2 linked regions of the Schizosaccharomyces pombe genome follow. The protein of the gene in region 1 interacts with the protein of each later gene in a biochemical or structural test. Each region holds a gene or a part of one and is shown in the gene's direction. Other genes may lie near its edges.

Region 1 (17,020 bases):
ATAATTATGGAAAGTGTTATTATAGGAAAGCAAAGGCTTTGGAGGCAATGCATCGCATAGAAGAGGCTAAACAGGTTGTACGAGACGGTTTAATTTTGGCAGAGCCAGTTACGAGAAACGAGTTGGTGGCTTTATGGGCAAGTTATACTGAAAAAGATTAAAACCAACTGTATCATGGTTTCAAATGATCATTGGATTTGCACGCTCCTTTTATTTCCTTTCTTTGTGTTGTTTCATATTACCATAAACACTTACGGCCACATAATTAATCCATTTCAAAATTAATACTAACTTGATATTATTGCCAATTCATTTAATGCTCAGGTGATTGTAGCAATTACTGTATACAAAAGACCATCCCCTAGCACATCATAAATACGGTGGTTTTGAACATGAATCTAAGTTTCGATTGTCATTTGTTACCCTATAGTCAAACAACAATGTTATAACTTTCCAAAGGATTTATTGAGTAAAACGGTAACTTTTTTGCTTGAAAGTTAGTTACCATCTAAGTCACCCTTCTTTGCCTTATAGCAAAAGTATTATACAATGCAAAATTTTATTATTTTCTGTACTTCCACTATAATAAAAAAACACCTTTAATCCCGTATTCCCATAAGAAGTTTCTGAAAATTTGTTGGTACTTTATTTGGATATCTCAATGTCGCTTTGACGTCCAAAACAATTATAAGCAGTGGAGATATCGAACATCACGAACTTCAGTAGTTGTTTCTTCTATATATACCGTCCTTCTTTTTTTTTAAAAAAACACACACACATTTTTTTGAAAATAAACAACGCTGTACTTTTCTCTAATTTCTAGCGCGTCCACGTCGAGGTTTAGGGAACTCTAGGGGAATTTTTAATACTGCACGCTTATGATTTTTAGCATCAGTTTTGTTAAGACCTAAAGCCATTCTTTGAGTTTCGGTGTAAGCCATAATTCGACAACCCACCGTTCTAAAAAGCTCATTAGCCTTCATGGTCTTGACATTCAAGTCATTTGCCAAGGTAAGAACATCAGTTGAGTAATTATCAACGATTAAGCACAATACCAGAATATAACATATGATTTTATCAACTTCTCGAGATGATACTTGGACGCTACCAATACCGGTGGTTTGAGTAAAACGTTTAATCAACCCATCAATAAGAATCTCTGGTGGATCAGCCAATTTTTTACGTAAAGTTTCACGGTTGCCCACAGAACGACGAGAAAACAAAAAAGCTTGCAAAAGAGAAATGTAATACAAAATTCTCGCCCGCTTCTGGTCAACCTCCTCAATGGAAAGTAATCGCTGGAAGCGTTCATTAATAAACAAGGAGTGACGGTACGGCAATAATTTGGCCCAATTGCGCTCGTCAGGGTTTTCTAACAGAGGCTTAATGTAAATAGCTGAAAACTCTTCTTTGGGAATAATGTCCTCCAATTTGTATGCATCTTCAATGGATTCAGCACCGACATTGACAGGAGGAATAGGGCGATCTTGCGCTTGAGCAGCAGCGATATCTTCTTGCGTTGGAAGTGCTTCAGTAGCTTTTTGAACATTACTAACCAATTGATCCTTGACATCTCCCAAAGTTTCAGCTTTGACACGATTGGCGGACTCTTCCATAATAGCTTTTTGACTTTTTCTTGTACCAAATGCCAAACCCAAGTTGGCACGCTGTTCCATAACAGTACCGCTTACAGTTCCATGCTTCTTTTTCAAAAATTTGTCCTTCTCCTGAAGTGCCAAAATATTTCTTTCAAAAGTATTAAGATACTTTGCTGGAACAATCTTTTTTACACGACCAGTTTTATCAGCAACAGCTAAACAGTAATTTGCCTCAACCGTAGCCGTTGATTGATTTTTAGCCTCAAATTGAACACGCTCTGTCCTTCCAATTAACGACGCATCTCTGTTGCTCTGATTGCTCTTTTTGAGAAGCTGGAACCGGGTATTTTCGGGTGGATAAAATCCGGAAATTGTCGTGACAAGTGGTGGTAAACTCGATTCACTCAAAGGCAATATCTTAACGGATTTTTCATCACCGGAATGGGAATCTCTATATTTCCGCTTCTTGCCCTTTAACTCGTCACCTGCCATTCCAATAGTGGATGCTGTTGGTAAAAATGCTAGCGCTTAAAGAGCTTTGCTTGTTTGACGAAGTGTAGTGTACAGTCACAGAGGCTGCGAAATCTAACTTAACGAAGTTTGAGGATCAGTCATTAAATGAAAAGAATTAAAGAAACTGAATATTACAAATCGTAGAGTACACTTTAAAATAAAAAAAAATGATTATTAATTTACTGTAAAGGACTAACAAATTTGTCACTTTGAAAAAGAAGGAGTAAAGGTGACTAAGTAATTCCTAGAACGCAATGAAAACATTACAGCAGAGACATTATTGTCTATAAAAACAAATCAGAAGAGCCATGGGTAGATTATTTCCAGCGGAATAATGAAATAAACATCAAATGAAAAATACATAGCAATACCAAGTATGTGCATAATGCAGAGAAAATGAATTAGGAGACTTTTTAAACTCAATAATCCCTAGAAAAATACCACCCAAATATATTAACGGTCTAAAGTGCAGAAAATTTTTAAACTAGAAACACGAATTTTAGAAGCTGTTAATCATAGGATCTGCGTCTAATTCAGGATGAGTCTCTTCTCCGGATTCATCGCCATTTTTGTTACGAGGATAAAATAAAACGTCTGCAGATACTAATAAGAGAGGTTAGTAAATACTATATTCTGTTTTCAAATTTTGCTTCAGGCTTCAACTTGGACCATTGCAATGTTGCGTACCATGTCGCAGGCTCATTTTCGCTTGAGATCCTTCATTTCCAGCTGGGACGGAACGCCAAACAGCATCGGCCTCCACATAAACACGCGTTCCCTTCCTTAAAATAGTTTGAAGTCTGTCGAAATTGTAACTATCGAAAACATAAACCGAGTGAAAGGTAGGGGCTACGTCTTTTCCATTATTGGAAGCTACAGTATAACGCATATATTCGTTTCCTTTTTGAGACTGCAAACGCTCAACGTCTTTTGTTAAATTGCCAGTCAATGTCAAACGTTGAATATCTCTATAACGAACAGTCGATGAAGAAAACAGTCGTTTGGAAAATGCTCTGCTGGATTTTAAGAATAGCATGTTTTTAGTACCTTGAGCTCACAGGAAAGCAATTAATGGAGTCTTATTGTGTGGTGTTGTGGATGAGTGAAGTGCGCATACGTCGCATATACGAAGCGAAAAGTACTTGGAGAAGTGTGTGAATTGATAAAACCAAAGTTAGGGTAGAATTTGCTTTTAATTAGCTACATAGTAAAGAGTCTGAATATATTTCTACCCAAAATGAGCCATTTCCATGAGGTACTTTAGGTTTCTAATAAGTTTACGATACATTATGCTAGCATTTACAAATCAATGGAAGTAATACGAATTTTCTAATCTATGATCGTATATGATAAAAGTAATATCGGATTCATACTAATTCATACTAACAGTCATTGGATGCATGTTTGGTATATAAGCTGACATAAATTGAGTTTCGTAAATTCTATCATACTAGCATATCTAGGGATAGCAGAGGAAATAAATAATAAAATGCATTCTCTGCTCTTACAAGACGATCATTTAACATATTATAAAGGGGAAACGCATGGGTTCCAATCCGAATGATAATCCTCATCCAAGTTGTAGAGCTTCTCCATATCCTCTTTAGATATTTCGAAATCGAAAACGTCGCCATTCTCTTTGATCCTCCTGGGAGTAGAACTCTTGGGAAGTACAATGAATCCACGCTGTAGACAGTATCTAATCATGATTTGAGCCTCAGACTTGTTATACTTGCTAGCAATGGCGAGAAGTTGCTTGTTGCCAAACTTTTCACCATGAACAAGAGGAGCGTAGGCAGCAAGTTGGATACCCTTGGATTCACAGTAATCGACGACTTTTTGTTGGGAGCAAAAAGGGTGAAGTTCGATTTGATTGACACATGGTATAATCTTTGGATGGCTGTCCAACAATTCCTGGATGTGATGAGGACCAAAGTTGGAAACGCCGATAGCACGAAGTTTTCCCTCTTCAACACCTTTCTCCAACGCCTTCCATGATTCAATACGATCACCATAGGGAGAGTGAAGAAGAAACAGATCAATATAGCCAAGGCCACATGCCTTAACACTGGCATCAATACTGCTCAAAGTAGATTTGTACCCACTTAAATCATTAAGCTTGCTAGTGAACCAAATATCCTCTCGTTTCGTACCAGTCTCTTCCATGAACTTAAGGATGGCTCTTCCACAGTCAGCCTCGTTGTGATACATCTGAGCCGAATCGATGTGTCGATATCCGCATTGAAGGGCAGCATACACCGAATCGAAGCATTTTGTACGATTCACCATGTAAGAACCGTAAGCAAATTGAGGGCACTTAAGTCCATTGTTTAACTTAACAAATGATCCCAACATAATGTATGAACAAAAAAATAAAATTAAATTAAAAGAAAAAAGTCAAAAATTAATGAACGAGGAAATTGATAATTATTCAATTAAGCAATCAACGAGATTCAGCAAAATTGAATATAACCAAGCTGTTTTTCAATGCTATTGAGTATTTTTGAAATATTCAATATTTTCAACTACCAAAGAAAAGAACGTTATAAATTCTTTTCACTAAAATGGTATTGCTAACCCGACATGCGAACAACACAGTACTATTTATACCATGAAAAACTTCTGATATAACATTAATGAGTGGTAATGATAAGCAACATCCCGAAGCACCATCACGTTTTTACCTTACGTACAGCGACATGTAAAGAATGATGTTAACCCAGCTTTTCGTCACAAAAGTTCGTTAAGCTTCGAATTCGTACTAATCGATCGATGGAATTCAGCAATGTTCGTTCGAGAATGAAATGAATAAAATGCTATGTATGAGATCAATCGAAGCTTGTGACAAATGCTGAATCGCGAATATAGCGGTTTTTTGAGAAATTTGTGATTGAGCGGGTTTTATAGTTTTTAAGCGGATTTTTATGCGAGAGCAAAAGACTGAACTCCAATAGTAATTATTGATAAAAATGCATTTAATGAACAATGCGTTTGTACTTGCTGAGTATTAGCTTAATTGACATCAAGGTGTGGTAGACTTATAATCAACAAGAGAAAACGCTCTCAAGTTTTATTATACATTTTATTTATCTTACCTTTAAACATTATTCGTGTCTTTTAAACCGACGTAAATGTATGATTAAAATAGTATGGAATGCGCTACTTTGAAATGGACTGCTCTACCAGACTATTGCCGCTCCATTCCATATGTGAAACATAGGGAAAAGTTTTAAACTACAATGATTAGTTTTCGTTGTTTGATTTTTTTACGTAGACTGCATGAACGTGAATTCAATTCAATAAATAATATTAAGTAAAAGAATTTTCGCATCAGGAAGTAAGTGATGAAAAACGATTGTACATGCAACAGAACCCATTATGCAGGAAATCAACCTTTTTTGTTTGAATGTGCAGCCTCAATTGAAAGATAATCATCGGGTGTTTTTGCTTTCCTCAATATCCTTAGGCGAAAGGGGAAATGCAAGTTAAAACCTTCCCACTGCACAGATGGCCGAGAAATAAAAGGATTCAGATGATGATTCTTTGATAAATGCTGTTCTTCTTGAATATTTTTTGTGTTTTCTTACAAAAGTCATTGAACCGCAAACATACATGAAACATACATACAAACGTCGATACTTGGGCGGAACTATTAAATAAAACCAAACCCAAAAGTACCAACCCTTCTGGGTTTGGTTATTTTTCCAATTTTGTTTTCCGTCATTCTTGTAACCTCAAATGTGCAATATGCAAATTATTAATATCTAGTCTTCCTTGCATTTCTTCTTCCTGTTTTCCACATTCACCTGAATATCCTAATATAATACATACAACTTGTTTCATACTTTTTGTTTTTAAATTTTGTTTTCTCTTTCCTTCATAAAAAAGCAACAAAGAAAAGGTGCTTATTGAGCTTTTCAAATGTGAAATTTTTAGACACCATACTGTGCCTGAATCTGTGCGAGCACTTCAGGACTCGCTTGCCAGGATGCCTTACCATTAAACAACTCCACAGATCCTTGTAAAATCTTTTGAAACATATCACGAAGTTCGGCTGAAGGATTTTCATATTCGGCCACACAAAGGACAAACATTGGCAACAAGTATGAAAGTGCTTGTGGATTGCACGCCAATATGTTGCAGAATCCCCTAAACGCGGAATCTTTCTCTTCATTCTCACCCACCGTTTTGATGATTTCAAACCAAGGTTGATAAAACAACTCTAGGTGAGGGGCAACGAGCTCCGGGTTATAAACACCCAATCTGCCTATCGTGATCGCAACATTCTCAAGTACTGTAGTGTTCGATTTTTTAGATTTGAGGATACAGATCAATCTCTCCAATAACGGCTTTACCCATTGTTGCATGTCTTTTCCTAATTGCAAAGCCATTTCGCCAGCTGACCAAATAGCGTTGTTCGATGCACTCACATGTAACAAAGGAAGTTGCATTTGGGGAAGCATATCCACCAATAAAGCATCACAATACGGGCGTATTTGGTCAAAGCAGTACATACACATATCTCCCAACAAAGCATAAGCAGATTGACGAACTTCCGGCACCTCATCCTTGGCACAAATGCCAATGATTTGACCGAGTGGTGGGTCAGCTTGCGCAAGCAAAGGACTAACTTGACTACCCAAAGCTTGTATAATTCCACTAACCAAATCCAATGTAGTAACAAGGAAATCCCTATCTGGAACGTCAACTGTAGGATCATTTTGTGCAGTAGTGATTAGGTATAAGGTGTTGCGAAGAATTCGGAACGTGCGTGCATACGTTTCAGCTGCAAATGGCGCAAATCCGTCACGCAAAGCCACTGCAACAGATGAAAGACACTCAAATAGAGGGAAAAGATTAGGATCATCATCAGGAATCATGGACCATTTTTGAAGTAATGGGGTAATCAATAGTTCGATATACCGTTTATCATTCAAAGCAGATCCTACATAATCAGCGAGGGTCTGAACTGCGTCGTACAGAATGAGCACATTCTTGCGTTGGTACTTTTGGAATGCAAAAGCAAGGTTGGTAAGGATCGGTTCTAGATAAGGAACTAACGAAGGGCCAGCTTGCTCTTCCAGAATTGCAAAAGCCGAGCAACCAGCCTCTTGCACTTTTTTGTTATTATCAACCACCATGCGAAGCAATCCTTGCAAAAGTGGGACAAAGTACTTTTGACGATCCTCCTCGGACTCCAAACACGAAGCCCACTTGGAGTATCGACCAAGGGTCCAACATGTAATCGTACGGACCAGTGGCTTTTTACTATCTAAAAGCGAAAGAAAGTAAGGGTATAATTCTGGTAAATATTGAACCATTCCATCCATACAACCTTCTGCAATGGCACCAACGGCCAAAACACCGGCTTCTTGAACTTTCCAATCTTCACTCGTAAGACTTTGCTTCAGATGAGGAAGAATGATTTCAAGTAACCTTTGCTTCCAAAACGATGATAAAACATCCAGTGCAGCAGCCGAGCACTTTCGCAAATTCCAATCCATGAAAGCGTCATCATCCTCGTCAAATTCATCATCATCCTCGTCTTCATCTTCCAATTCATCAGCATCGGCGTTGGAAGAACCTTGTTGAGTAATTGGTCCCTGGGTATTCAAGGTAATCCTCGATTTACCCTTTGCATGCTGAGGACGAATATCCTCTTCTCTATCTTCAACATCATAGTCGTCAGCATCATTACCAAGTAACAGCAAGTCCATGTCTGAATAAACCATCCCTTGGAGAAGCATGGGGACTATTTTATCCAAATAAGGACCTAAAGCAGAGCAAAGATCGGGTTGTTCAGCAATTGCAAGCCAAAACTCACAAGCTTCTAATGCGACATTCTGATCAGAATCTTGAGTAGAGTACAACATGTATTCGACAATGCTTCCCAAGGAGGGTGCAATTTTATCAGGACGGACATCGAGCAGGTAAACAAGAGCTTGACAGACATTTTTACGCACATTTGGAGAAACGTCTGTTGCTAAGGCGTAGCATGTTTCAAGGAATGTATCAATATGGGCATAGAGAGATTGACTTTGAATTAGAACAAACTGGTTCAGACAGAAAAGGGCGTCCGTACGAATTTTTGGGTTCTCGTGTCGAGCAAGTTCAATAAACCGGGGTATCATAAAATCCAAGGGACGAGTACCATTGAAATCACGATCTAACTCTTGAGCCGAATCCTCACATATTTTAGTTAAGGCGCTGAATGCTCCTTCTTGAGTGGTAGAAGCAGGGCTAGAAAGCATTTCCATTAATTGTGGCAATACTTCAGGCCAAGTACTAATTCCCCAACGACTAATGATTGTAGTGATCACATTACCAGATATGCCTCGAATGAGTTGTTCAGGGTCACACAAACCGCGAATAACTGTTGACTTTGTGTAATCGAGGCTCTGCAAACCTGAACCAGACTCTAAGCTTGAAACACGAACATTGTTCTTCAACAAAAGACCAGCAGCAGATCTAATTGAAACACTAAGCTCCGTAGCGTTGATGAGAATGCAAGTAAGGTAATTATTTAGATCTGGTATATCCTTTGCTTTCTCAAGCAACTATAATAAAGTTAGTTATGCCATTTGATTTCTTCTTCACACGTCGTTACACACGTGAAGTAAAAAGAAGCATCTTCTACAACGAGAAAGAAACTTTTAATTTTAGAAAAAAAAAATCTTACATTTAAAGCAGCATTCCTAGTCTGAGAGTTTTCGGAGAGTGAATTCTTTATCACTTCTGAAAGTTCTACGAGGACTTGTTCCTGGAGAACCCAAGGATTGTCCCCCATCTTACTCTGTACTTACTGTAAGAAGTTGTTGGTAGTAGTTCTCTGATGAGTGTGGGGAAGGCAGGTAGTACCATTCCAAGCAATTCCAAGATTTACATTTACCAGAGTGGTATGCTATGATTCGTTAAAAAATAAATGGATTCCAGTATTTGTTTTCACATTTAAACATGTATTGACAGGATTTTTCTACCAAGTAAAAAGTTCATATTGCAAATTTCCCGTAGACGCATCTCAACACTCACAGCACAGTATAATGATCTCATGTATTAAATAAATTAATTTACAGAATAAAAAAAAAAGAATTTTAGCACGTAGCTCCCCTATATCACTTTAAATTTGTTGATTTTTCTTCAAAAAATTTACGAAAAGTCCATTGGGTTGCATGTTACCTGCTGACGAAGAGAATAGCACTGTCTATGGAAAACCATGCAATGTTATTTAGGAATTTAGGGGCGGATTGATATTGTTTTGAATACTAAAAAAGAATTATATTTAAGCTCCATGTTATTCAAGAGAAGTATTTGAGCGACAAGCCATGCGCGGATAACACCATTGAGTTTAAATTACTATTGCTCGAACGTGGCAATATTTTAACTTCTCCAATTTATGTTCAGGCCCAATAAACACGTGCAAAGAAAGCTATTGAGTAGCATAGACAATTATCTAGGTCAATCATAAATATGTCTAACTCTGTACATTAACCATAAGAAGAATTATTCATCGTTATAAGGAATGGCTGCGTTCTCCTTATTTTTTTACAATATTTATGTATATACTTAATCACGTTAATATAGCTTACGAGTATACTGATTGCAACATTGTGTTTCGCTAAATATATATCGTTTCGCTACGAACTGCTCTTTAGTTTTCAAGGATGCAATAAAATACCGTAAAAGTTCTCCATTTTACCGGAATATTGCTGTATTCAGAATGCGCCCCTGGAGATGTTTATTGATATGTATACATATTCTTATAATAATATTGGAAGTGCGATAGCTACTAGTAAATTGATGAGTGCAGTTTAAATTTGATAATATTCTATATAGTTTTAATGATTAAATTAAGATTCAAATATACTAATCATCATTAGGACTTAACGGCATCTATTTATACGATATTTCAAAAAGATAAAAAGCATTTGACTTATACAGGAATGCAGTGTGCCGCGGTGTAATGTCCTATAGTGCAGAATCACAGTGTAACGTCAACATGACATTTACGCGGAGCTGGGCTGATGGAGTCGCTCCTCTAAACCAAGCATATTAAAAGGTGTAGTAATTTGAAAGGATTCATAAGAATTCATACTTTTAAAAGGTACTTTATTAGTAAGGAATTATTTAATTATTTATTATTATTTCTTATTCCTTGCTTATTGCTTTAAATTGAAGCTTTTTGCTTATTGACGATTTCAAAGTAAGTACACGATGCTTTGTTCTATGTTCATTTTAATCGCTTTTGTTCAACTAACCTGTATCTGCAGACATTCATAACATTTTCTTACGTATCCTTTCTTTTTGTGACTCGTCGTTGAACTTTCAATCGGATTCTTTAGTTTTCTGCTTTTCTGCGAACTTAATCTACAAATTGCCATTTGAAACTTTCGAGCATCACTGGGATTGGTATCGTTGTGAAAAATTATATGTCTAATACTTTCAAACATTGCTAAAATCAATATAATAATTCTTGAAATCCCCGAAATTAGAAGGATTTTTATCACATATTCGATTATACTTCTATCATTTGAATTATTCTCTCTGACTAACATTTAAAACATTGTGGCCTGTTGTATGCTATCAAGGATCAGATACATTCATTGCAAGTTAGACAGCGATCAATTATTTTGAAAAATTAAAAAATCATTTCTCTCAATCATAATTGAATCCCCCTGAACTTTGTTGTAGGAACAGATATCTCTTACCAAAGAAGTTCCACCAAACGTTCCTCTCATTTCTCTTTTGCTTTTAAAGCTTAGTTTCATTAAAATATGTCTGTAGATGAAAATCAATTGGAGAATGGACAACTTCTATCCTCCGAAAATGAGGCATCATCACCTTTTAAAGAGTCTATCCCTTCTCGCTCTTCCCTCTACTTAATAGCTCTTACAGTTTCACTTTTGGGAGTTCAATTGACTTGGTCGGTTGAACTTGGTTATGGTACACCGTATTTATTCTCACTTGGTCTTCGTAAAGAATGGACTTCAATTATATGGATTGCCGGTCCTTTGACTGGAATATTAATTCAGCCAATTGCTGGTATATTGTCCGACCGGGTTAATTCAAGAATAGGTCGGCGGAGACCGTTCATGCTCTGTGCTAGTTTGTTAGGAACATTCAGCTTATTCCTTATGGGCTGGGCCCCTGATATTTGCCTCTTTATATTTAGCAATGAGGTTCTAATGAAACGTGTTACTATCGTTTTGGCTACGATTAGCATTTATTTGCTTGACGTGGCCGTCAATGTCGGTATGTGAATTTAGGGATTTAGTTTTCAGAGTAGTAGTTCATACAAATGACTAACTTTATAACTAGTAATGGCTAGCACTCGATCTTTAATTGTTGATTCAGTCCGTTCAGATCAACAGCATGAAGCAAATTCCTGGGCTGGAAGAATGATAGGTGTAGGCAATGTGCTTGGGTACTTACTAGGCTATTTACCTCTATATCGCATCTTCTCCTTTCTCAATTTCACACAGTTACAGGTGTTTTGCGTACTTGCCTCCATTTCCTTGGTACTCACAGTTACCATCACAACAATATTTGTGAGTGAAAGGAGATTCCCACCAGTTGAACACGAGAAATCGGTTGCTGGAGAAATCTTTGAATTTTTTACAACTATGCGACAAAGTATTACCGCACTTCCATTTACATTAAAAAGAATTTGTTTTGTTCAATTTTTTGCATACTTTGGATGGTTTCCATTTTTGTTTTATATTACTACCTATGTGGGTATTTTATATTTACGCCATGCTCCTAAAGGCCATGAAGAAGATTGGGACATGGCGACTCGTCAAGGGTCGTTCGCATTACTGCTTTTTGCTATCATTTCTCTTGCCGCAAATACAGCACTTCCATTGTTGCTCGAGGACACGGAGGATGATGAGGAGGACGAATCGAGTGATGCATCTAATAATGAATACAACATTCAAGAAAGAAACGATCTCGGAAATATAAGAACTGGTACTAATACACCCCGTCTTGGTAATTTGAGCGAAACAACTTCTTTCCGTTCGGAAAATGAGCCCTCACGACGCAGGCTTTTACCGTCTAGTAGATCAATTATGACAACGATATCCTCCAAGGTACAAATCAAAGGACTTACTCTTCCTATTCTGTGGTTGAGCTCCCATGTCCTTTTTGGTGTTTGTATGTTGAGCACGATATTCTTGCAAACATCATGGCAAGCGCAGGCAATGGTAGCTATCTGTGGACTGTCCTGGGCATGTACTCTATGGATTCCATATTCGCTATTTTCTTCAGAAATAGGGAAGCTTGGATTACGAGAAAGCAGTGGCAAAATGATTGGTGTTCACAATGTATTTATATCTGCCCCCCAAGTGTTGAGCACCATCATTGCCACCATTGTATTTATTCAATCGGAGGGCAGTCATCGAGACATCGCCGACAATAGTATAGCATGGGTGTTGAGAATTGGAGGTATATCTGCATTTCTAGCCGCGTACCAATGCCGGCATCTTTTGCCCATCAACTTTTGAAAGAATTCAGATGATGAATGTCGCAAAAATATGCAATTCGATGATATGTGAACATGAATATTATGAATAATTTACGATTGACGAAATATGAGTGAAAGCAATTGCTGTTTTTTCTAAAAGTGTAATTTGAATAAAAGAATGGAGAGGCAACGAAGAGTAATGGCATTATCAAAAGGATTTGTTTGATTGGGCAAACAATACACTGTCAAGATGGAAAAGGAAAGTTTTTCTTTGCATTTGATACAAGATTCATACTTGTGTAGAGTATAGCATGAACCAATATAAAAGATATACTTATAGTGTATAAAGGATATAAAAAGTAATAAAAATGAAAATCAACTTGATTGGACTATCTCTCTATTAATGGACACAAAAAAAACCATGGTGGCAGTAGTAATACTAGCAGATGTTTGAACTTTCTCGATTGATCCGAGTTTAAATTAGTATACAGTAAGAAGAAGCGAGCTTTGCGTAAGAAAAAGGGCAACAACACCATGTTGATCACAGTAAAGGGAAAAACAATGCATTGCCAAGCTTGTTTTCATTACAAAAAGAAAGAGTTAAAACGGAGAAAGAGCCTCAAATTAAGCTAAAAGAGCCAAATTATAAAAAGAATTTTCAGTCATATAGAATGATAATTCAGTATAATAATATGTTTGTAAGCATAAGAACTTTTGAAAGCTTCCGCTGTAATAAATAACATGTTATGTAATTCTCCATGTGCTCTTTCATCTAATCGGTCATACCATTATGAACATGCAATTAGCATCTAAACTACCTGCCTACTTTGTATAGCCTGCCAAGTCAGCTTAGTGTGTTAGGTAGCTAAGACTCCGTGTCCTCCTTGTCTAAGCCAAACGACCCAACTCGACAAGGCGTTGTCGCAATCTTCCCGCTAAGCGGTAGTGGAAATTTTTCTTCCGCACTGGCGGTCGGATTGTCTGCGAGCAAATCCTGACAAGGAACAATGGGGGTTTACGAGTTTAGGGAGCCGACCGCCCCGCTGGTGAACAAAACCGGGTGTAATTAAGTTACAATTTCACTTAGGAAAAGCCCGAGGATTTCAGAAAAAAAATGATTTCCATACTGCGCTACAAAACAGAAGTATATTAAATTACTATTGTAAAGAATGAAGCGATTTTAGAAAAGCGATGACAGTTTTTGTAGGTGCATGAATTGTGGTAACATTTTTCACTACTGCTTCCTCTAATGCACAAACTCCTTTTACCTTTTACCATCCCCAGCTTGGTTTGGACAAAATTGCGACAGCCACAATTGAACGCGTATTTTTTCCTGTTATACGAAGGAATAATATAATAAAAGTGTTTTTTTTCTTGGGAATAAAAAAAAAAAGTTCGTTGATTCACTTTCTTCTTTTAATTTTTGGTAAGGAACGAGACAGGCAGTGTCTCTAGCAGTTGTGTTTATAAGGACAAAATTGCGCTGAAACCGCTTAAGCGAAGGTAAGACTACGATAAAGAAAATCCATAAGGCATGCATCGTGCACCCGCACAGTCATCCTTATCCTCCTCGCCATTTGCGCATGCATCTCTGAATGGAAAAGCTGCTCCAAGTTGATTTCATTTTTACTAGCGGCCATCTTGTTTCCATTCGTTTGGGGATGCATGTAATTAGATGCGCCATTATTGGGCGTTGACATTTACTTCCTTCGGGAAATTGCCGTCGGGGATTTTTTTTTCTTGTTCGTGAGTCTTGTTGGTGCTTAAAAATAGCGAGGCGTCCGTTTCAGGATTCATTACTAACCTAGTTCCTTTTTAGGCCCGCACAGCGATTTGTAATAGTTGCTATCTAGGACAATCTTGACGAAATCCGCTGTTGCAATAAAATCCGCAATTCCTCCTTTCTTTTTTGAATTTCCTAACTGAACAGCAATTCTTTAGGCATAAACTTAACGAAAGCTAACCTCCGAAACGAATTGTGCTTGTAATATCGTCCAGTTGAAAACATTTAAGTTTATTGACTGGTTTTCCGATAATATTTCTCATCGTTACATCTTCTGTCTTATTTATAGTAAGGTAAATTTTTTATCTTACCTATTTCTTTAAATAAGTAACTAAAGGTTGACCTGTTGCTTTCTTTCTACGTTTCCCATCGTTATCCAGAGATCGATTTGGATACCGTAATATTTTTCCCTAAATAACTATACCGGGGTGTTGCAAATTCGTACCTTCTAATACCACAGTCGATAGCATCGTTATTTGCCCGCTAGGTCTTGGTTGGATTGTTTTTTTTTCTAATTTGCTCAACCTTTTTCTTGCTCTGTAAGAAGGATTGGATAGACACTTTGAAAGTTGGTTGATCCATTGAAAGGGTTTTAAGAAATAAAAAATATATATTAGTCAAAGCGTTGACTCTATATCCTCTTCTCTCGGTCGCATTTTTTCTATAAGATTGGATCGATTTTTTGCTGGTTTTGGGTTTTTCATTGTCACTCTCTTTCTTTATTTTTCTTATTTAAATAATGGAACGCGTTGTGAAATTAGCTGCAAAGCACTGCCCCTTCGTTAGTAAAGCCGATCCTAGTGCTTTGCGTCGTATGGCTGGTGCTGGTCTTATTCGCGCAGGAGCCCGTTGTCCAGTTGTTAGACATGCACTTCCTGTGGCTGCTGCTACTGGTGCTGACGTGTCTCGTGGGTTTAAATCCGACTCCAAGCAAATGGCTATGGAGCCTTCTTTGGATGAGATTCATCTAAAGGCTGGCGTCGTCAATACTGGTTCTCGTACATGTCGCCATGCTGATGCTGTCAAGGCTGCTGCTGAGGCTGCTACCACTACTCCTGTTACTAAAAAGCACCAAATGCCAAAGCACTATGCTTCGGATTTGAACGGTGTTGGACCTGCCACCACTCCTAGATTCGACTATGACACTTTTTATCGTGAAGAACTTGATAAGAAACATCGAGACAAATCTTATCGTTACTTCAATAATATTAACCGCCTCGCCAAAGAGTATCCTCTTGCTCATTTGGCTGATCCGAATACGCGCGTTGAAGTCTGGTGTAGTAATGACTACTTAAACATGGGTGGTCATAAGAAAATTCGGGAGGCTATGCACCAGTGTATTGAAACCTATGGTGGTGGTGCCGGTGGTACTAGAAACATTGCTGGACATAATCAGCATGCAGTACGCCTTGAAAAGTCCTTGGCTGATTTACATCAAAAACCAGCTGCTCTCGTTTTTGGAAGTTGCTATGTGGCCAATGATGCCACTTTATCTACACTTGGCAGGAAATTGCCTAACTGCATATTTTTGAGTGATGAAATGAACCATGCTTCAATGATTAATGGTATTCGTAATTCTCGTTGCGAAAAAATCATATTCAAGCATAATGATCTTGTTGATTTAGAAGCCAAACTTGCTTCCCTTCCCTTAAATCGCCCAAAGATCATTGCTTTTGAGTCAGTTTATAGTATGAGTGGAAACGTTGCACCTATTTCCGAAATCTGTGATTTGGCTAAGAAATATGGTGCTATCACATTTTTGGATGAAGTACATGCTGTTGGTATGTACGGACCTCGTGGAGCTGGTGTTGCTGAAGAAACTCCTGGTTTGTTAAGTCGAGTCGACATTATAACGGGTACCTTGGCTAAATCCTATGGTTGTGTTGGTGGTTACATTGCAGCTTCTAGCACGTTAGTCGACATGATTCGTTCACTTGCCCCCGGGTTCATCTTTACTACTTCACTCCCTCCTCACGTTATGGTGGGTGCCTTGACTGCGGTCGAGCATCTAAAGGTTTCCAACGTAGAACGTGAACAACAAAGATCTGCTGTTCGTCGTGTTAAACAATCTCTATCTGAAATCGGAATTCCCGTTCTTTCGAATGATACCCACATTGTCCCAGCCATGGTTGGAGATGCCCACTTGGCTAAGTTGGCTAGTGACTCTTTATTACATGATCACAATATTTACGTCCAGAGTATTAATTTTCCTACTGTCTCTGTTGGAACAGAACGCCTCCGTATCACTCCTACCCCGGCCCATAACACCGAGCATTATGTTCAAAGCTTGACCAACGCTATGAATGATGTTTGGAGCAAATTCAACATCAATCGCATTGATGGATGGGAAAAAAGGGGCATTGATGTAGGTCGTCTCTGTAAGTTCCCTGTCCTTCCTTTTACTACGACTCATTAAAGATTGAAATAACAGCATTTTTATTTAATGTCTGTTTTTTTTGTTTACATGGAGTTTAGAAAGAATAAATTCTTATCGACAGGATGCAATAATCTTTTTTTGGTAATCATTTAGAATTAATTCAACTACTAAAGTAATCAAACAAGGCGTATTCCAAAAATTTTTGAGTAATGTAAGCAGAAAAAAAATTATTATTTAACTTAGCAAAATGTCTGCTGACTTTGTAACTAAAGCTATTTTGTCGCGGTCCT
Region 2 (16,272 bases), 3.9 Mb from region 1:
CGTATTAGCTTACCAAACCAATAAAGCTAAATCGATCCAGAATAAATAATTATTACTAACAGCCCAAACAGGTCGTTGATGGTTAAGTTGCGGGTGCCGCTTATCTATTTAAAGTTATCCGACATAGCGGATTATTACCGAATAGGATAATACATACTAATAATATATATATACCAGATAAATTTAATCAAAATTTACCGAAAAATGTTGTATACTCACGCTAATATTATTACGGTAAATCCAACACGTGATATACTAATTGATGGAGCAATACTAGTCAAGGATGGTTCTAATACCATCGATGATATAGGAAAAACGGATAGACTAGTTTCAATATATCCAAATGAAAAACATAAATCTTTAGAAGGCCATATAGTGATGCCTGGACTCATATCTCTCCATGTACATCTAGCACAGTCACTTTTGCGTTCTGCAGCCGACGATTTGCCTCTAATTTCTTGGTTATGTGACACTGTTTGGAAGATGCAGGGTAATTTCACCCAAGAAGATGGATACGTTGCTTCGCAATTAACCATTGCGGAAATGTTAAAATCTGGGACCACAACATTCGTTGAGGCACTATTTGCTCAACGGTATGGAATTGAGGGTGCGGTCAAAGCGGTAATAGAATCGGGAATAAGGGGTTGCATAGGAAAAGTGGTAATGGATCAACCAAGGTATGCTACTCAAACTGGAGTTAGCATGCATGAGGGTTTGATTGAAAATTCTAATTCGCTCAACCAAGCAGTTGAAAGCCATAGCAAATTCCATGGGAAAGGAAATGGCCGAGTCGAGATATGGTTCGGAGCACGAACACCTGGTGGTGTTTCTGAAGAGTTGTATCGTAAAATGGTTAAAATTGCCAGAGCAAATAATATTGGAATTACGATGCACTGTGCAGAAGTAAAAGCCGACAGAGAGTTTTTTGCTAGCAAGGAACATACTCCGATGACATACTGCAAAGATCTAGGTCTTTTAGGACCAAAGACTGTTTTAGCACATATGGTTCATCTCGATACTCAAGATTTAGAAATTTTGGAGAAACACGGAAATGGAACTTCTGTGGCTCATTGCCCGGTATCAAATTCCAAACTAGGTAGTGGAATCGCCCCACTAAAAGAAATGCTCGAGAAGTCAATAATAGTTGGGATTGGTTGTGATGGATGTCCTTGTAATAACACTATGGATCTATTGCAAGAAATGAAGATGGCGTCTTTGCTTCCAAAGGCTTTACATGGTGATCCGTCTATAGTTCCCGCTGAGAAAATCGTTGAAATGGCTACAATAAATGGTGCAAAGGCATTGGGAAGAGATGATTTGGGCTCTTTAGAGGTCGGCAAAAAAGCTGACTTCATTTCTTTAGATTTATCTAATAAGCTTTATGCGCAACCTCTTAGAGATCTTGTATCTGCTGTGGTTTATATTGCTACTGGAGCTGATGTTGCGACAGTAGTAATTGATGGAAAACTGATTGTGGAAGATCATGTTTTATTAACGATTGATGAACCAAAATTGATTGATAAGGCTAAAAAGCATGGAAAAAAGCTTCAAGAACGTGCCAAAGTGGATGTGAAAGGCCGCTGGAAAGAAATTTAAGCTTTGATCAACGGATGACAAACTGTAACTATATCCTTCATGTGTAAGCTTTTTACTCAATAAAAATTTTGATTGAAAACAAATGGAACGAACCAAATAATTGTGTAGTTAATTTTCTTTGTAGTTGATAAATAAGTGAATTCTCAAAGTTTTCGTTAAGCTCAAAAAGTTCATTATTTAGCGCAACAAATATCACGTTCAAGTCCTAAAACTTATGATTGTTTTTGCTGTTATCATTTAACTTAAATGAAAAGTAACATTACTGAAGAGTATAATATGATCCCGAGTCTGCTATTCATTATTAAACAGTAATCGTCGCGTCTACCTATTTAACATCCTTTTTTTTATTTTTTGAGCCTTTTAATTTAATTCTGGCGTGTTGAAACATGGTTTTCTTTGTTCTGGTTTCACTTCAACACTGTTAACCATTTCATGATTTTATGGTCACTATCAGATGAGATAATAGCGGTACTTTCAATGCCTTTAACAATATTATTTGGTCAAATAAGATGGTTTAATGGAAGACACTTGAGCAAGTTGACTGTTCCACTTCTGATATGACTTTATAGGGTTAAGATGGAATGGAAATTTTTTTGCACTCATTAGTCTGACTTATAATTTTTAATTTTCAAAAAAAAAAATCCGCGATTGCTAAAGATATTTACAGAATTACTGCGTGCTGACAAATTGCAGCCATTAAAATGTTATAGCGATAACAAGGATGTTCATTTTTGCATGCCAACCGAAAGGACGAATTTGTAACCGGAAAATGAAATACGGAAAATAAAAACTTTTTATTTAACCTCTATCATCAAAATTGTAAAAGGAAAGCCTCGCCTTTATATCCTTTTTGCGGTTGATAGAACTCCGATTTATCTGATCAAATGTCCATTAGTACGCCGGTTCCCAAAAAAAAAATAATAAAAATTTTACCTCCCATGAGAGAAGAGTCAAATTATACAAGCTTCCTTCATATGCAACTTTGAAAATCAGCTGCATGTCGTCTGGTCTTTTAAATTATAAAGCAAAAATTGATATAATACTACAACCTAGGTTGTGTTTGGTGCACGAAAATACAAAGCTCAAATAAAACGGTATGAAAGTTTCATGCTCCTAGTGTGAACAAATAAGGCTCAAATCAAATAAAATTTTGGTTAGTCGAGAATAAATTGCTCGAGAACAAGAAAGTTCAATGAAATTTTCTTAAGGTATATTAGTCAAAGTTGGCAAAGGTGCTTTTGATTATGAAATTTAATAAGAGTTCATAAGCCAGAATTCATAAAAACTAATAAAAAAAATTTGCAGACTCCATCCCAAAAAGACATAGGTTTTCCACAGCAATTAATATACGCTGAAGACTACTAAGGATTTTGAAACTAGAGAGATATGGGTTTTTGGTCATTAAATTTTCTTTTACTAGGATAAAACTGTTTACACTTAGAAAAGCATTTTAAAAAAATAAACACCAAGTTAATGAGAGGAAGGATTGAGACTTCACGGAATTACTACTCCTATATGTGAAGTATTTCGCAACACAACTATTTTTTCCGATTTCATGTGACGTTGGCAATCTGATAATTTAAGACAAAAGTCGACGAAAAGCAAAGATCATCTGATAGCGATATCTATTTTGAAGTGAACATACGATGTAATATGTGACATAAGTATAGTTAATTAGCTTAACAACAGTGCACTGTAGTTTCAAAATTTGCTTGCCAAGGCTTCATGTAACCACATGTTTCAATCCCTTCAGTTACTGATATTTAGCATAATTAATACTTGAGAATTGAGAAATTTTAAAGATGTATGAACAAATAAACTCAGTAAATAAGTAGGAAAACACGCATGTTAAGTTTATTCACTGCTTCAAAAGACTAAATTAAAATTAGCTAAAATCGCTCAAACTATACTCGACTTTATCGGATTAATAAATTAGCTAATCAGTAACCAGGGTTGTCTTGGCATCGGCATATCACTGTACAAAGAAGGAAATTGCGAATAACTACTAACTAAAGTGGAGATCTCATTTGTCAAAGTCTTCAATTCGAGCTTCTTAACCGCGGTGCCGTTTGGAGTTTTGTCAAAATAAGGCAAAAACTTTTCATAATCCGAACCATGATCTGATATGCGATTTAAGGTTAAGCGTCCATAAAAGCATATAAAAGAAGTTGTGCATCCAGCGAAGCAATTGCATATTATTTTGTTTACTATTGAATAATCATGGAAGCAAAAGAAACACATTCTATATCAGATCATGAAGTTGAATTGCAGGATGCAAAGCCGGAGGAGAAAAGCGAAAATGGAAATTTTGTCTTTGAAAAGGCTTTCTCTTCTGACGAGGAAAAAGGATCGGGCTACAATACCAATGAGACATATTCCAAAATGGATAACTCTTTACAGCACAGAGGAGTATCAAAAATTGAGGCTGTGAGAGATTCTATATATCAAAATAAAAGAGGAATGTACTTGGCGTACGCGTTTGGTATAGCAATTCTTGCTTGTTCTTGGGCAAGTGCCATTCAATCTTCAACAACATACAGCTATCAAGTGTATGCAACAGCCTCATTTAACAGGACTTCTATGATTTCAACTTTAGAGATTGCTACTGCGATTATTTCTTCTGTTTGTAAACCAATTCTAGGAAAATTTTCCGATATTACTTCACGACCTATGACTTACACTCTTGTATTACTGTTTTATGTCATTGGATTCATTGTTGTAGCCTCAAGTTCAACTATATCTGCTTATGTTATAGGTTCGGTTTTCATTTCAATCGGCAGCTCAGGGTTAGATTATTTAAATACCCTTGTCGTTGGCGACTTAACGTCCCTCAAATGGCGAGGATTTATGACAGCCTTGCTCAGTACTCCATACATAGCTACTGTTTGGTTCACGGGATTTATTGTTCAGGGTATTATAGATTCTAACTGGAGATGGGGTTATGGGATGTTTGCAATTATTATGCCAGCTGTTATGACTCCTGCGGTTATTATTTTGATGTATCTGGAACGACAAGCTAATAAAGATGAAAACATCAAGAAAATTATTAATTATCAAACTGAGGAAAAGAACAAAAATAAACAATCTAAATGGCAAAAACTCTGGAAAGCTGTCTTGGAAGTTGACCTTTTTGGATTAATATTATTAGGAGTTGGATGGTCAATTTTATTATTGCCATTTTCTTTGACTAGTTATGCTAAGAACGGATGGAAAAATCCAAGCATGATTGCAATGATGGTCGTTGGAGGGGTAATATTAATCGCATACTCTGGTTATGAAATGTTCATTGCTCCTTATCCATCATGTCCTCGCAGAGTCATGAACAGAACGTTTATTACAGCTGTTATTATTGATTTCTTTTATTATTTAGCGGGTTACTTACAATCGATGTACTTTACAACATATACTTGGATTTTATACGATTGGTCTTACAGAGATTGGACATACTTCAACAACACAATGACGATTGCACTTTGTGTTTTTGGAGTATTTGCAGGTGCCATGCACCGGGTTTTTCACAGGTACAAGTATTTGCAAATCATTGGTTTAGTAATCAAAATTGTGGGATACGGCATTTTGATACGACCAAATTTCGCGGCTACAGGAAAAGTAGATTTGGCTTGGTCATTGATTCTAATTGGTATGGGTGGTTCCTTCAGTGTGGTGGGGTCTCAGGTATCATGCCAAGCTTCTGTGCCTCATCAAGACTTAGCTATTGCTTCTTCTTTGTTACCACTTTATACCAATATTGGTGGAGCTATCGGAGCGGCAATCGCGTCTCCAATTTTCTCAAATAAAGTACCAAAGTATCTAAGAGAATACTTGCCATCTTCTATAAATGATACACAAGTTTATAACTTTTACAGCGACTCCTCTCTCATAAGAGAGTATCCCGTTGGCACAGAAATTCGTGATGGAGCCATTAAAGCATATTCCAGAAGCATGTTCTTTTTACTTGTTCCAGCAGTTTCTTTATCGTTTATACCTTTAGCTGCAGCATTTTGGCAAAGTAATTTTTACCTCGGCAATCAACAAAATGCTGTTGAAGGAGATCAAGATCATAAAAAAAAGGGGGACAAAGAAACCACACAAGAGGAAAAAATAATTATTTGATATTTTTAAAAGAAATTTTGTTTTAGTTTAGTTTATTTGGGTTTTTTTGCGTGGCCTTTCTATATAATCCGCACATTATTGTGTTGCTAGTTAATTATCATATTATTCTGAATTTCATTTTTTTGGGAATCCCTTGTGGTTAGTTGGGTAATATATTCATTTCAGCTTGCATATTATAAAATCTCGATATTTTTCTTAATACAAGTATAATATGTGTTATTTACCTCAAATATTTAGCCAAGGAAATAGTATATGCAGCTTCACAAACTTGTGTTCGTACATTAAATTCGAAACGTAAGTAGCCTTAGACACTATTTTGCAGAAAACTCAACAAATAACGTAAACACTGGGGGTTTTATTATCATGCTCTTTTTTTTTTAATGATAGAACGGAAAAATCAATTAATTCGTTTTTTTCATTCCGAGATAATTCAGATCTAAATTGATTTTATAGCAGGAAAACGTTTAGAGTAAAGTTATTTAGAGAAAAAATAGTTAATTGTTAAAAAAAAAAAATATGAAAGTGTGTACTGTTCGTCTTCAATATTTAAAATAAAAGCAACATAATTAGTACTAACGCGAACTGCCTTAAGTAACATAGTAATAAATCTGCCAACAAAAAAAATGTTAAGTAATGGATTGCTGAGTTAGTTTACAGTCACGTCAAAATTTAAAATATAAAAAATAAAATATTTAAAATAATATACATTCTAAGACTTGTACGCCGACTAGAACCAATATATGAAATTTATTCTTTTTCCTCCGATGTAGTGATATACAATACCCGGAAGTAATTGGCTGTGAAATCTGATAAACCTTATTGATTATCTGATGGAACATTACATGCCAATCTAGACGGTACGGAGAATTAGCGGGCAACGCACTACTTAATTATGGCATATCGTGCGCTATGGGATTTCAACTGCTACAAGTATTATTATTTTTTAGAATACTGAGCGTTCATGTTGCATTATTCAAGTACACAGAGCATGTAGAAAAGTCACCATCTGGTTCGGAAAAATTATGAGGAAGTTTTTAGAAACTAATTGAATCTAAAACCTATCTACTTCATTAATATTTGTTTACCCTTCTAGGAAGGTATATATATTTCAAGGAATGAAATGTAATCGAGGTAAATTAATGAAAATTCAATTAGTTTATCAAGTTCTAAAAACTGCACGCCTCGGTTGTAAGCACAGAACTCGAAATGCAGTGTGTTATTGATCGATAAGAGGATAATAATCAATTAGTGAATTGTGATGATTTATGATAGTCTTATGCAAACATAAATTTCTAAGAAAAATCGTTGATTAGAAAGGAAAATTAAATGAGCTAAAAAACAAGGAAAAAATCAGAGGGGTAAAGCAGTAGTTGTAGACCGTTCGTTATATCATCACCGAATGTTTCATTTTGCACCGTTTTTCACTCCCGCCTAGATTTTATGCACAATATCCATCTGATAAGTAAAATCGTAATTAGGTTTCGTCATCAATCTTAGTGGGAACATAAGAAGTTAACAAGGATGCGGCAGTTGTGCATAATGCACACATGGTTTATGGGAATTGGCTAAGTAACTAATTTTAATCGGCAAGAATCTTATCAGTGTTATAAATTTGGAAAGAATAGATTTACATGATTCTGATGTTTATTTTATTTCAAGTTTTAAATTTGAATGATTTTGCGCCTTTTGATGATAAATTTACAAATAGAATACTGCTATCTTAGAATTGCATTACTTTTAAGTTGCATCGCTACTTTTGAAAAATTCGCAATCAAGGTGTAATTTAAAATTGTTCCTCAGAAAGGCTAGGATTATGCGGTTCGTAGTACGGGATGATGCTGGTAGTTAAATGATTTTCGGTTGTCTCGAGCAATTAACTCGATATTTATATATTTTAATAACAATTAATCAATCTAGAATCAATTAGTGAGGGATAGTCTGATGCAGTTATCAAGATAATCAGATAATTTAGCTTAATTCATTGAATTTCCAGTACTATATAAGATGGCACAAAAACAAACTATCTTGGAAAAAATAAAATACGACCAGTTATTTTTTTAAAGCCTAATTGCTTAAAATTAAGTAGCTATGATTTCTTTAAAAATTTATTTTGTGCTGATTTTCTTGTTCTTAAAAGGCATTAACTCTGCATACGTCTCAAATGAGGAAGGAGAGACTGTCGATTTCACATTTTCTGGATTCTACGCGAATTTAACATATCCAAACGAAATTTCTGAATTAAACTACGTTGAAGGAAATTATTTGTCTACGAGAATTGTTCGTTTTAATGGAAGCTTTTATTGTGATACTACTATTTTAAGTGAAACCAACAACGTTACTGGGTCCTGCTACGTTGCGAATTGTGCAAACGATACAGTTTTGGAGATTTGTGACAGCGGAAAGGAAGTTCATTTCACAGACATGAGCGGAACAACTTGGTCAGCAGATACTTTTACTGAAAATTTATACTGGTTCTGTGGTGGTGATGGAAATAAGCCCAATATGACAACGGCGGCTGCAATGAATTCAGATATAGACTCCTACTATGTTTATGGAAATTGGACAATTGATACTGCTGATAGCACCGTAGCAGATTATACTTGCAATTATACACATTTCCAAGAGGCTGGAGATATCGAAAAGGGAGACGTCTATACAGCATCGGCTGATTCTTCTGATTCCTCTTCTGCTTCATCAACAATTTTTAAGCCTTCTTATTTCATTAGTTGTTTATTATCCGTAGGTCTTTACTTGGTTTTAAACTTTTGAAGACTTTGTTCTTTAACAATACCATTATTTACTAGGATAGTTATGGCCAAAGTTAAAAAATGAATAAAAAAAGCCAAAATGATTGAAGGCTTATGACTCTAATTCATTCCATTTTTTGAGTCCTGCTAATACTCTTATCACATGCTTTTATTCTATTTTATTGGCCAATTTATTTAATTAATTTACTTAGTATAAGTCATCAATTTTGTGATTTAAATTACATAAGTTAGACATCTGGAAAATAGAAAACTATTAATATTAAAGTATTATTAAGAGCTATTTTTAATTGCTATTATGATTCGAAAGCGTTTTCTTGTGATTGATTTAGTGGCATGTAACGGCCTAATAAATACTTTTATTCGAATTTTTACTAATAAATTTTTATCAAATGGTACTCTAAATAAGTTTAGTTTTGAGAAAAAAATTCACAAGTGATCGCCCTCCCTTGGGTAGTAAAAAAAAGAGGAGGAGCTCATTCCTTCTACCACTAAAAAGAAAGTATTGTTTTTAACTTTACATAAATCATTGGTAATCTTTTAAACTGCTTTACATCTTAATGGGGCAATGCGGTTTCTTTCTACTTAGAAGGACTTTCTGTAAGTTTTGAATTTCCAATGTATGCATTACTTCTTTGCGCCTTAAAAAATTTTTTTTAACAATATATTAACGACAACGTTATGTAGAGAAAAAATTATTATGAATAGGAAGGATTTTAAAAAAAATACTGGAAATTTGGTATCATTTCGCATCACAGGGATAAATACTAATTGCCATACTTCGAATAACAAACAAATACCTCAAAATTAGAAAATCATAGCAACAATATTTCATTAAACAATACAAAAACAGAAATTTCAAAGCTCTTATTCATTTTTTAAAATTTAGAATATTCGGCCTCATGATAATAAATCTAGAACTGCCTCGCTATCAATATAAAAACAAAATAAATGTAAAGAAATACAGGAACATTTAGAATTTTAATTTTAAAATTTGTTTAGATATACGTAGGGTGTGAATCCTCTGAAAAGCGATCGTTGGAAACAGCGGATCTCCGTGGCTTGACAGCAGACACGACAGATCCTGAAGAAGAACTACTATCGTTATTGTCTTCATCAGCATTTTCAATGAATTCTTCTTCTTGGCCGCGAATACCTTTCGATTTCTCTCTTTCACGCTTTTCTTCTTCTTTACTAAAGTGTATACGATGAGATTCAATTTCTCTTACATATTTGTAAGATTCCCATGGCTTAATGTTGGACATGTATAAGTCATTGACTTCCTCCAAAGTAAGACCTTTAGTTTCTTTAGCCAAAAAGAAAATCATAAATGAACTAAACAAATTAATGCAGGCGTAAATGTAACCAAGCTTGAATCCGATCGCATTGTTAATGAAAGGAGTAAAAAAAGAAATCATGAAATTACCCAGCCAGTTTCCCGATGTGGCTACAGAAGCGCATTTACTGCGATAACGAATGGGAAAAGTTTCACCCACAATTACCCAGCCCATTGGGCCCCAAGAACAGCAGTAAGAGAAAAGAAACAAACAAGAAAACACAATCATTACAGATCCTGCTCTGTGATCACTAGTACCATTCTTATATATGAGCTTTCGATCGCCTACAGCGGCATATATAAAGAAGCATATCGATTGGAAAGCAGCTCCAAAAATTAGTGGGTTACGACGTCCTAAGTTATCAATTGTGTATAAAGCACCAAACGTTGTACCAAAATTAATAGCACCTAAAATAACGGCTGGTAAGAATATATCCGTCATACCAGTTCCCTTGAAAACTTGTGTAGCATAATAGAAATAATAATTGTTACCAATCAACTCTCTGAACAACATGACAAGAAATCCTAAGCAGGTACGGTATCGAATATCCTTACCGAAAATTTCTATCCATCTTGCTTTACCTCCAGCCATTTCTATTTCAATATCACTCTTAATGGTATTAAAATTAGTTTGAATAATTTCACTTTCAGGACTTAGTTCCGCCATATTGCACATAATTCGAAGAGCTTCTTCATCTCGTCCTTTGTAAATAAGATAACGCGGTGATTCAGGCAAAAAGAGTACACCAACCATTAACAGGATTCCCCAAAGCATATTTATGCCAAAAGAAGTTCTCCATGATGCAGTCTTACGCAGTTTATGAGTTCCCATATTGATACAGGCTGCAACTAAAGCAGCACCTGTCGAGAAAATTTGATAGGTTGCAACAACTGCACCACGAATTTGTGGTGGTGCTACTTCAGATTGGTATCCAGGACTCAAGACTGACAAAGCTCCGATACCAACACCAGCAAGGATTTTACCAACCAATACTTGAATCCAAGAAGGGACTGCTGTGACTAAAAGAAGCTCTGCAATAATATATACCCCGCTGAAAAAGCAAATAGAGTATTTCTTACCAATTCTTTCGGTAAACGGCGAAGAAAGCATAGCACCAAATAAACAGCCAGCATTGATTGTACCAGTCAACAAAGCTTGTCTCCATGCTGAGTAACTGTAGGAATTTGAAATGGGATTGTAACGATCAGCAAAACGAGATTGAAAATCTCGCATGCCCAAGATGCCGCTAATGGAACCAGTATCGGCGCCTTGCAACCATCCGGACATTGAGATAAACACCACGAGAATTGATGTAATAAACCTATTCATATTTAACGAATTCAAAGATCAGGAGAATATTAGCAAAAAAGGATGAAAAAGAGTGTCCTCAAAATCAAAATAAGTAAAAGACGATACAAACAAGGAAATTTTAATGGAGAATTTAAAGAAAGAAAGAAAAAACTCCACGGATTTTTTAAAAAACGTAAAAACGAAACGAATGAATAAATACGAGAGAATTAAGTATAATGCAAATGAAAGCAACAAAGGGAAAATTAGGCAAATGTCAAGTAAAAGCAACCCTAAAAGTGGGCAAGAATTCGAAATCAGCCAAGGACTTTTTTAAATAGAATACGACACAAACGAAAATTTTGTAAAGCAGAAAAATGGGAGATTACAATAACAATAAGAAATGTGTTAAAAAGTTCGTTAAGAACTTTATTAAACTAAAAGACCGCAAGGGGTTTTTTCTTAACACACCAATAAATTGAATGAACGCAAGCACAGAGTAAACAGTTAATGGTTTAGATTGAGAGAATAAAGGAAGAGAAATTGTCCTTAATATACTATTCCATTTTGAAACATGTTTCTTGGATGGCTGACGTAGAATTGACTTGGAAGTATATGAAACCGTAAATTATTTACTTCTCCACATTTCATTCAACTTATAAACTTTGCCCCACCCAGTATCAGCTATTCGAAACTTTAAGAGGTAAATCCACTAAGCAACTCATTTTGCTAAAACGTTGAAAGACCCGTTTTTACTGTTGGTTAATATAAGGTTTAACGCAAAAAGGCTGGCAAGCGCACTTTCAAACGGTAAATGGGTTTAGAGTTCACATCTCTCAACTACCTCAAAGAGTTTCTCCGCACTTCTTTCAAAATGCTTTTCGGCCCCGAACCTGTAATCCGTTTAACATTGGCTGTCGAGAGCATGACAAGCATGATGACGAAAGGTACCCCTCAGCTGTTAAACTTTAAATGATGTAGTAAAAATAACTATGATTGGGCGTTTTTGATGTTAAAACTCGAGACTGAAGTTTAAAAGCTCTAGAAAACCATAAATTAAAGGCTCTAAATTTGCGATTCAAAAGGAGTGGAGAACAGAAAACTGGGTTAGCAAGGCCGACGGTGAATAAAGTTTTAAAAAGTTAATACTAAAAGTGGAGATGTAAATAAATGTGGAGAAAATCAGTAAACGAGTAAGGAAAAGCAAGAAATGAGTAACAAACTAAAATGGTAGTTCAATCGCTTAGAAGTTACCTTGCCAAACTTCCAATTTAGGGTGCATTATTTTGCTGCTGTTAAGCCTGTTTGCTACTTTCTGTTACACATTTTACCTATGGTCTTCACGTTAAAATTTTTGTCGTTTTCATTTATATGTTTAACCCATATGATATTGGCTTAGACAAATGATTTGTTCTTTAGTAAGTTTAATTACCACTTTTTATTTTGATATCGTTAATATTCGTAATCCGAAAGTGAACAAGTAAACCGTAATGCTTATTTATCACTTTCTATTCCACAAGATCGGTCTACAAAGGAATGATCTAATATTAGGTTACTGTATTTAAGTTGAATCGGCATTTTAGTTTTTAAAAGTAAATAAAGCGCAGAATGTATATCAACTCTTAAAGCATGCTTTAAAAAATATGCTTCGAGCTGACTAATCGTAACTGTTACTAAGCTTCTGACACTTTGATATTTTTAAAGAAAATGGAAGCAATTATTCAAACTTCCTATTAATATGTAAAGTCTCTTACTTTTTTTTTCATTGTTTAAGTTAAATCAAATTAGAACTAAAGTTGACTCAAAGCTTTTTTTCTTCTGAAAAATAACAAGAAAATTCCAATCACGAACCTATTTATCCCGTAGCTTAAAAATATCTTAAAGAAGGGATGCTGTTTGGAAGCCACTCATTGGAACCGTTTGCTATTCATACTTGCATTTGCTTCGTGATAAAGCGCTACCTTCTGCGAGTATAGTGAAATAGTGGTGAATGTATTACCTTACTCTTATTTTTGTTTACAAACTATTATTTTAATAGAAAACATAAAAAGAGCTATTGAAGGGATACTCAGATTTTCACGAAAACGAATAAAAAATACGATTTCCAATTAACGCGAAAGAAAAAGGCTTTGAAAAGAAATATTTATTTTGGTTAAAGGTGCAAATTTAGAAGTATATTTTTTTTCAAGTTGGATCATTCATGAACTTCCGCAACTCGTAACTTGTTAACAACAATTCCTTTTTTTGGAAAAAACAGGCAAGGAACGCTCGATTGAAGCTAATAGCCAAACGACATTCAAGCTGATTGTCTGGTTTAAAGTCTGCAAAGTCTATATTAATACAGATATTCAAATATCCAAGCATTTAATTTATTGAGAATTTTTGATTAGTACATGATTTAATAGTTATTACACATGAATCGCACTCCTTAACATTTTAACTGTACACAAGATTAAACATATTGTTAGTTTTCCTGCTACCGCATTTATTTATTTTCTTCACATTTTACTGCGAATAGTGTATAAGTTAAATCTAACTCGTCGTGTGTTCCGAGGGAAACAAATGGCTTTTGGATGCTTACTTTCTTTTCTATTTTACGATGTTAGTTTACAGAATTACGTTAACTCAATCTTCTCCTCTACGTTGTTGCTGAAAAATCCTTTGCATGTAACTTATTTTAGAAATCATAACAGAAATATTACCGTCTCTTTTTCAGCAAACTTATCAATATTACTCCCAAAAAGCAAATGTCTCTATCGTACTGACATTAAGTACTCTGCTTTGTTGAGCGGTTTAGGTTGATGGCATGATAATAATAGAGAAATGTAACTGAGTCACAATTTTTCGTATATAATATTTCTAGAGTAGTAATTTATAAAAAAACATAAAGTAGCAAATAAAGCTTATAGCTATCATAATTCAACAAAATATGCTTGAGTAGTAATTTATGATTCTTCAAGATCTTTTCATTATAGTCAAATAAGTCTCACAATTTTTATAGGGCTATTTTAACGCAATAAATAGTTAACTTAAAATTTTTTTAGCATTTACTTCCAAAGCTCTTGTTCTTTCTTTCTTTTGTATCACTTAACCGTAACTTTTTTGTCGCTTTGGTAAACGTTAGAATACTAGTAAAGATCTGCCAACTAATCCGTATAGTTAACTAACCGACTGTTTACACGGATAATTAAAGATGTGGATTAAAAAGGTTATAAATAAACCTACAAATGATCCTCGTTTCTTAAGTTAGCTTATAACCTATATGAGTGACGGTTCACTTTTAGACTTCTTATAACTATAATTATAAAATTGCTACTCATATATATATATATGTATTTGTAGATCACACGTAAACAAATGAATGTCTCCTTCAAGAGATTAATACTTTCAGCGCTTGGCGAGTAGCTAGTACATCTCAGAGATAAAATTCACCACCTGTTTGATATGAAGAGAATAATCATTCATTTAAATAAATCAAATACTACGTATAGTGAGCATATTGTAGTATCGAAACTAAGATATGAAAAGCAGTGTGAAAACAACATATGAATAAATAAGGATAATGTAACAAAAGAAAATGAATTTAAGCACGTAAAAGGATTAAAGCCACTGACAGAAAATGAACTGGAAAAAAAATTATAAAGTTAGACTTATATAAAGAGAAAATGTAATAAATTGAAGGTGGCGATAATGATATGTACGTTAAAAAAATATCTAAAAAAGTTGTAAATGGAACCAATACTCCGACCTATGGAACATTCAATGTCACTAGTAAGTTGTTTAGAAAAATATTAATAAAATAAAGTGTAAATATATTTTATATAATACATAGTAGTAAATTCAATTTGAAAATAAACACGTGTAATAACATTAATAAAAAAATATACATTCTCAAAATAAGGTGACCTAAAACAAAAATTAATTAAATTGGAATGAGCGCACATATAAAAAGGTAGAGCTTGCAATGACAAAAAAATTTTTTCTGATTTGGTTTTAACATGAATAATATTTTTTTTTGCACGTATAATGGAAATAGTTGTAATGCAGCGCGTTTATAATATGTATTGATAATAATATAGGGAAACAGTATTGAAAGTTAATTAAAAATGATAATAATAATAATAATGGTTTCTAATGATGACTGTAGCAAATTACATGGAAAAAATAAAGAAACTCGTTTGCAACAATTCATCGTATTTGTATATAACAATTTCTAGGACATATCAAAGACTATTGATGAAGCTGGATGATGAAAAAAAAAGGAGTGGCTGAATTTTATGAAAAGAATACTGGAAGGCTCTAATTCAAGTTCATTATTAAGTTTTTAAATAGCAGTAGGATAGTCGAGTGGGTGGTTACACCGTTTATAAGATAAAAGGTGGGAACGATGATGTGTGAAAACAAAGTCATCTAAAAACGACAAGGTACATTGGGACATGATGACATTTATTTGAAATTTTACAGTAAAGTTCATCATTGTTAAAAAAAATACAGTTTCGGACTCATGAATTCTGTATTAAAAGTATGGTTGTCATTCGGCATCATTACATTAATTTATATTACGCTACAAGTCATGCGTTGGGATAACAAATAGAACCTGTTTATACATACATAATCACAAGATCCTATTTGTTTAATGAATATATCGGTTGATAATGGATGTCAAGAAAACTACAAACAGGGTTCAATTGAACATTGCTCATCAGTTTCGGTTATAAGCTATTAAATGAAAGATTGCATGTCACTTACATATAAAAACATCCTTTTAACTCCTGTTATCTGCATTTCGCAATGTTGTAAGACGACTAGTCTGAGCTCACTGGCGCAGTTTAACGAAGCTTTAAATCCGATCGGAAATTGTAACTGAAATTTGTACATCTAGCGCTCCTGGAGATAACCGACTTATTCCCAGCCGAATCTTGTGTCAATACTGTTCAAATTATCGATATCAACATTGTAAATTTAAATTGGTATCCTTTCGATCCAAATTGTAGGAATTAAATCATTATAAGTTACACCAATTAAGAGATTCCGACACTTTCCCACATGTTATTGCTTTTATACATTTGCTGTTTATTTCTGAAGTTTATTTTAGCTAATGTTGATTTAACTTTCGTCGAGTATGCTAAGCTGCCTTCTAAATATGCTGAATTACTTGCTAATGCAACTAATCA

Evidence for each region.
Region 2: the proteins of hem1 (region 1) and shu1 form a complex in vitro, tested with the Schizosaccharomyces pombe proteins (one study listed by BioGRID).

The regions. Positions count from the first base shown.
Region 1 is NC_003424.3:3,925,171-3,942,190, forward strand, and holds hem1 (5-aminolevulinate synthase), read left to right. Parts: upstream 1-14,494; 5' UTR 14,495-15,092; coding exon 15,093-16,769; 3' UTR 16,770-16,916; downstream 16,917-17,020. Other genes in the region: sec67 (translocation subcomplex subunit Sec72), read left to right, coding at 1-161; DNA-directed RNA polymerase I complex subunit Rpa49, read right to left, coding at 813-2,090; single-strand DNA-binding protein Rim1, read right to left, coding at 2,611-2,714, 2,799-3,147; SPOM_SPAC2F3.05C (xylose and arabinose reductase), read right to left, coding at 3,639-4,466; karyopherin/importin beta family nuclear import signal receptor Kap104, read right to left, coding at 6,044-8,668, 8,791-8,898; SPOM_SPAC2F3.07C (uncharacterized protein), read right to left, coding at 10,358-10,663; plasma membrane sucrose/maltose:proton symporter Sut1, read left to right, coding at 10,883-11,360, 11,427-12,610. UniProt on the Schizosaccharomyces pombe protein: Catalyzes the synthesis of 5-aminolevulinate (ALA) from succinyl-CoA and glycine, the first and rate-limiting step in heme biosynthesis.
Region 2 is NC_003424.3:77,804-94,075, reverse strand, and holds shu1 (protein Shu1), read left to right. Parts: upstream 1-7,797; coding exon 7,798-8,478; 3' UTR 8,479-8,510; downstream 8,511-16,272. Other genes in the region: hhy1 (hydrolase), read left to right, coding at 205-1,596; siderophore-Fe(3+) transporter Str3, read left to right, coding at 3,817-5,709; plasma membrane gluconate:proton symporter Ght3, read right to left, coding at 9,473-11,140; SPOM_SPAPJ695.01C (uncharacterized protein), read left to right, coding at 16,145-16,272. UniProt on the Schizosaccharomyces pombe protein: High affinity heme transporter involved in the assimilation of exogenous heme during conditions of low cellular iron.